2 linked regions of the Neurospora crassa OR74A genome follow. Each later gene encodes a partner of the first gene's protein in a complex. Links are inferred from orthologs where the notes say so. Each region holds a gene or a part of one and is shown on either strand. Other genes may lie near its edges.

The links. The genes of interacting proteins can lie anywhere in the genome.
Region 2: the proteins of NCU08341 (region 1) and NCU03368 are in contact, whole or in part, in an NMR structure (PDB 2GGP), measured with the Saccharomyces cerevisiae proteins. The link is inferred for Neurospora crassa OR74A from reciprocal best matches to the Saccharomyces cerevisiae genes CCC2 and ATX1. Residues at the interface, in NP_010556.1 of Saccharomyces cerevisiae: Cys13, Ala15, Cys16, Thr19, Gln23, Glu60, Asp61, Cys62, Gly63, Phe64, Asp65; in NP_014140.1 of Saccharomyces cerevisiae: Thr14, Cys15, Gly17, Cys18, Ala21, Lys24, Val25, Lys28, Lys59, Lys61, Lys62, Thr63, Gly64, Lys65.

The regions. Positions count from the first base shown.
Region 1 is NC_026501.1:5,687,947-5,691,701, reverse strand, and holds the start of NCU08341 (CLAP1), read right to left. Parts: upstream 2,193-3,755; 5' UTR 1,761-2,192; coding exon 1,690-1,760; intron 1,614-1,689; coding exon 1-1,613. UniProt on the Saccharomyces cerevisiae protein: Copper-transporting P-type ATPase necessary for the proper uptake of iron. Required for export of copper from cytosol into extracytosolic compartment.
Region 2 is NC_026502.1:943,179-945,820, forward strand, and holds NCU03368 (hypothetical protein), read right to left. Parts: upstream 1,615-2,642; 5' UTR 1,215-1,614; coding exon 1,124-1,214; intron 998-1,123; coding exon 795-997; 3' UTR 541-794; downstream 1-540. Other genes in the region: mig-8 (pirin), read left to right, coding at 1-300; NCU03367 (hypothetical protein), read right to left, coding at 2,306-2,642. UniProt on the Saccharomyces cerevisiae protein: Copper homeostasis factor that specifically transports copper to the secretory pathway for incorporation into copper enzymes destined for the cell surface or extracellular milieu.

The DNA of each region.
Region 1 (3,755 bases):
TAGGAATGACCTTCTCATCCGCTGCATTGCCTTCACGCGGCTCTTGAGAGTCGGAAGAGTCTGCGTTACGATCCCAACCCTCGGCAGCCTTTTGCGCCGCGATGGGGTCTGCATAAATGGTAGCCATCGATGGAGCCAAGGACATGAGGCGTGAGAGTGCCTTGGATGTCTGACCCTTGGCCCGATTCTCGAGGAAACGGCCAAAGGTGATGAAGGTGATCAGCATGGTACTGGTATCGAAGATGGTGCTCGGCCGGGTGTGCGGAGGAAATAATATTGAGACGACCATGGCGACAATGCTGAAGAAGAAAGCACACGAGGTGCCGAGAACAACAAGGACATCCATAGTCGGCGATTTATGTTTTATTGACTTCCATGCCGAAACATAGAAGCGCTTTCCGATGCCAAACTGAACCGGTATCGTGAGAACTAAGCAGACCACATCTCCAAGGTATAGACCTGGAATTAGTCTGACCTTGCCGAAGTCAAGGAACTTCAGGAACATTGGCAAGATCATGCTGATAAAGAAGACCGGGATAGCGAAAGCAGCCGAGATTCTGAACGCCTGCTTCCATTCGTTGATTTCTCGCGTCTTGGCGAGCGACTCCAGCTGGGCATTATTGTCATCATTGTCTGCCACAAGGGCATTGAAACCAGCGCCTTCGACGGTCTCGACAATAGCTCGAAGTCCTGTAACATTAGGTAAATGGGTGACAGTCAGCCTGGATGTCGCAATGGCCAGTTTGGCACTGGCGACTCCGGGCAGCGCAAGAACCGCATCTTCTAGCTTGTTGGCCGCGGCAGCGTCAATATTTCCATAGATCTTGAATTGTGCTGTCGAAGTACCCCCAGACTGACTGGGCTGGTCAAATGTACTGGTTAGAATCTTGGCATCAAACCCACGATCTTCGATGATCTCGACGATCTTGTCAGCCGGCAATAACGTTGGATCGTGCAAAATAACCGCTCGCTCAGCGAGAAGGCTGATGTTGAATTTCAGAACCCCGTTCACATCCTTGAATCCTTGTTCCACAGCTGAAGTGCAGGCGCCGCAAGTCATACCCTCGATAGCTACTGTCGTGGTCGCATTTGACGGTTGGGAGGATGTCGCCGCGCCGGGAACAGATTCTCTCTCGGGCTGCTTATGGACACTCTCAACAACAGTCGCCCCAAATCCGCGGTCTTCAATAGCTTCGCAGATGCCATCGGCACTCAACAGTGTCGGGTCATGCTCGATAACAGCTCTCTCGGAGAGTAGGGAAATGCTAAAATGTCGTACGCCGGATACGTCCTTGAATGCGTTTTCGACCGCTGATGTGCAAGCGCCGCATGTCATGCCCTCGATTGCGACAGTAGTGATCATTAATGGGGAGTCATCGGAAGCTTCCAGGTCTTGTTCGGGGTGCCTGGCGATCATAGGCGTCGGGAGGTCGGTGGCCAGCACCTCGGCGTCGAACCCTCGGTCTTCGATGATCTGTTTGATTTTGTCCGCGGTTATCTGGTCGGGGTCGTGCATGACCACGGCGCGTTCCATTACCAGGCTGACCGATACGCTACCAACTCCATTGACGCCCTTGAAGCCAGCTTCCACGGCCGAAGTGCAGGCGCCGCATCTGCGTGAAGTCAGTCACCATGTCTTCTCCACACCTCCGAGGGAGCCGAGACAAAGTCAAGTATTGTGCGACTCACGTCATGCCCTCAACCTTGAGGGTTGTGGTAGCCATATGCCCAGATGGGACTTGTATATATGCTGGTGCCATCTTGCTGGTTCCGCAAGAGCTCGTACAACGAGGCAGATGTTTTATCAAATACGCTGCAGCGCAAATGACATGCGGAAAGCGAGATTTCGAAGCGCAGTGATTCCGAAACAAGAGCCCCTAGGCTAAAACATAGGAGAAAAGCACGCTGTGTTCGGAGGGCGGCTCATATGGGAGACGACCCGGGACCACCGCTTTTGCGCAAAAGAGTTAAAAGGGTAAAGTAGGCGCCAGCTTCCAGCGATGGTGTTGGCGAAGTCGATGCAGTTAATATGTAGTGGAGGAATGAGTGTGAATAAGGACGGGTGTTAATATCGAAGGCATAGCGGAGCTTTCGGTACCGTTACATGAGACCAAATGGCGCCAAACCTGCAGCAGGGAGCTGGCAACTTTGACGAGGAACCCGGGAGAGTGGAGGGACGCAACCGGGGAGGGGGGGGTGGGGCTTGAGAAAGGAACTTTGGAAACATGAGCGGGAAGGGGTTGAGAAGAATCCTCCATCGACTGAAGGTTTGTCAGCCACTCACAGCGTACTTCTACGGTTCCTTGAGAATGCACACAGGGGTCTCTTACCACTGACACTTTCTCCTACCTATGGCGTGAAACGGGATCTGAGCGGGAGCCTTCAGGGCAATTCACGAAGTGGGGTGGGGCGAGATCCGAGTGACCGAGACCTACCGGACTGCCATTCAGTGCCCCTGGGACCCCGAGTTATCGTCAACAACCGGTATAGTAGGTAGGAACACAAAGTCTGTGCGATTCTTTCTCGTGGTATTGCGCCAGACAGGCGTCTATCATACATTGAACCAATACAGACAGAAACAACCCAGCAATCTCGTATAATCTTGTCCGAAAAGGTATCACAAGGCATCATGCAAGATAACATTGTACCTACGCAGGACGAGAGCCAGGACATATGTACCCATGTACATAGTCTATATGTTGGATTGCCATTGAGTTTTGGCCTGCACTTCTGACCTTTGCCCGATTAGTGATCATGGCTGCTTACCTTGCTGAGCTTACTTACTACGACACATAATCCTGATCTCGAGTCATGCTTCCCGTGCTATGGCTTGCTTGCTCAGCTTGACCGAAACAGTTGTGGTCGGTGTAACACAACACTCGGGCAAGAGGGGCTGAGAAATCCAGCGAGCTTATGGCCTCGCTTGATGGTCGAAAGGGCTGAGTAGAGTCACAAACTCAATTTCCATGCCGCATTCTGCTATATTTTTCGGGATTCTGCTTCACACTTCCAACAATCAAGAGGTCCAATATTGACGAGTCGTCACATGAGGTGCGGCTTGGATCGGCATTCATGTCCCAGTGCTACCTACGACCTGCACCTCCTTGTTAGAAACCCGCGATTTTTACCGATCGCACCACTCACCAACGCAAACAACAAAAGCCTCTCAACGATTGGACCTTTCAGGAATTGCCATGTGAACTCCCCGATCATAGAGGTACCGATAGGATGGCACCAAAGAACGTACTGCCTTCAGCAACACCACAACATGGGAAGGGTCTTGGGAATAGCGGGAGTGTCTTCATCGCCACGCTGTATGAACCACGGGCATACTGTGCAACACTATATTTTGAAAAGGAAGAATCAGATTGAAAACTGGCAGTTCACATCTTCAGAGATATCGTGGCGTCACGGCGATTACTCCTGATCTCTTTGTCTAGATTTCTCCACTTCAAACGCGTTGCCATCCCGATGTTTCAGGGGACCCCTTGCGCCTAGATTCGCAAATGCTGGTCACCAACAGGCGCGGCTTGTCGTTTCAAAACGTGACTTTGACACAGCCAATTTGGCGCCAAAAGTGCTCCATCAGCACAGCAGTCTCAAGAGCAACAAGAAAAGAGAGAGACGTACAAGAGCTGGGAAAGCTAACCGCTACCTCCGGCTGCGAGAAACACCATACCATGTACACATTAAGCATCAAAGCTGTACTGGGATTACATATTGAGCATTATGAAACCCATACTTGGTGTGATGGG
Region 2 (2,642 bases), on another chromosome or scaffold:
GCCATCTTCAGCTCGGGCAAGGACGGCGAGAAGAGGACGGTGGAGCAATTCCACAATGTGGTGTTTGAGCCGCAGGGCGAGGCGGTTTATGCCGAGGTGGATGCGGGCGCGGAGAAGCCGGCGAGGTTTGTTTTGGTTGCGGGAACACCGCTCGATCAGAAGGTGGTGCAGTATGGCCCGTTTGTGCTGAACAGTCAGGAGGAGGTGTACCAGGCTTTTGTGGATTACCAGACGCATTCGAACGGGTTTGAGAGGGCGCAGGGGTGGAGGAGCGAGATTGGAAAGTCGATGAGGCACTAAAGGGGGGAAAACGGGGAGTTGAGATACCAGTTTGCTTTTTTTGTTTGTTACTATCAAGTTGGATATGGGAGAGTAGGGTTAGCTGGGTAGAATAGATTCTGATGCATTTTCTGAACACTTCGTTTGGTCTAGTTGCTGTGATGCTATATCTGAGGTGTTCGACGAGGTCCAAGCTCTGAATGATTAGTACTTCGACAAGACTTCAAATGGGAACATCGAGCTTGACATAGCATAGCCACTCGAGATGGACAAATCTCAGTAGTTATCCGTTAAAACAAACAGCTTTATTGTAAATCAAAAAGGTATATTCTAAACCAAGCCATGCGCAATTCAGCCGCCCGAATTCATTCGTATGCCTTATACAATTCCTCCACCGCCTGCTTTCCCTTGTTCTAATTCATATTCTATGTTCTTCCGATCACCATATTGGGCGTGGTGTTGCCCCCAATGTCTTCCCCATATGATGTGTGTATATCGTCCTTGCCTGCATGCCCTTACTCGTCCTTAAGCACAACATCCACGTCACGAATCTTGTTCCCATTGCTGTCCAATTCCACGCAGGAGTTGACACCCTTGCCAGTCTTCTTGATTGTTCGGAGGATCTTTTCGTAAAGGGCAGGGGACTCGTCATCGACGGTGACGTTGGCGCTCTTTTCATCGAGGAGGACGGTGTAGGATACGATGTTTGATTCGTTCTCTGGTCATTGTCAGTTATGCATGCTTCTTTAGTACCGGGCGGCGGGCAGGGCAATCGGAATGTATTTGAAAAGGAAACCTTGGGGGGGGGGGGGGGGGAGCGGGGGTATGGACAGAGACAACGGACCTTTAAGTCTCTTGAGGACGCGGTCAACGGCGCCGGAGCAGCCCCCGCAGGTCATGGTGACATCGAACTTGTAGGTGTAGGAGCCGGACATTTTTGACGGGTTTGTTGGGTTGGTAATATCAGTGTTCAGATGACAGTTTATCGAAGTGCAAGTTGCGACAATGGTATGCGATGCGGTGCGGGGCAGTTGTGTGGAAACGTGCAACAATAGTAGTAAGTGAGGTGTTCGTGGATCGCGGGAATGGGGGGAGCGCGGACTTGGAGTCGGGAGGGGCAGCACTTTAAATAAGCTTCGCGACTGGGATAGCAATGAGCCAAAATGGGAGGAGCGGAACTTGGAACAACTCCCTACAGACAACGAGGTAACTTCACTCAGGGATACGGGCGAAAAAGCGAACCTGACAGATTGCAATAGAGACGCATTACTGATACGGAAGGAAAGATGGAGGACAAGCTTAATAATTTGCTCATTGCGTGGTGCTTACTGTCAGGTACGCCTGCCTGGTACCGCTACGCCTCAGATGATCTCGCGATGGTGTATCAGGGGACTCCGTGTCAACCGCAGATCTCCCAAGAAGGGATTCATGTTGCTTCCGTTGTTGGTGCGTGAGACGTCGCGCGATGGCGTCAGTCCCGCTTTCCCACTGTCCTGTTCTTGCTGCAAATGCCACATCAAACGAAGCTTTAACAGTGCCGCGCAGACTGTAACACTCGTGTCTCCACCCGCGTTTAGCAGCGAACCCTCGGTCGGTGTACTAAATAAGCGACGGACTGCCCTGAGCTTGAAACTTGCTCACCGAGACTGTCTCATGTCTTGTGATCCTGGACATCGGATTCTTGATCGGCTCAAACCGAACGTGAAGACACATACACTACCTATGTATACCTGTGCTGCTCCTTGGGTTGCCCGTCGTTGTTTATGCGTCGTAGAATATCGAAGGCTCAGAAGTTTGTTAGGGGTTTCGGTCTAACGCCGTGCGGAAAAGGTACATAGTGCTTCACAACATGTTTTGAATTGGTCCTGTACTGAATGGAAATAGTCGATGGTTCAAGCAGCATTTGCCTCATGGAAACAGCCATTGCGCTTTAGCTAATTCGCTACTACACCACTGTCCAAAATGGCAGTCTTCCAGTAATTTATTTCCCTTTTCCACTAATTATACTCTCCGGAGGAACATCTATCTACCTCCGAGCAGTCTCCTCCTCGTCGGTATCATCCGCATCCTCCACCGTCGCCCTCCTGTTGGGTGTGCCACCCTGTCCAAACTCCAATTCGAGTTCAGGATCAAGCTGATCCTCATACCAGTGATCCTCGTCTTCAAAGTCATCATCACCCCATCCATCATCGAAATCATCTTCCCAACCCCCAGGCATGACATCACCTCTCTGATTACCTTCACCTCCTTCCGCGCCGCCTGCTGCTCCGCCTGTCCATCCTTGACCCGTCAAAACATCCACGATCCTCCGCCACACCCCGCGCTGCTCCTCGTCGGCTTCAGGATCGTCGATTCTCGCACGA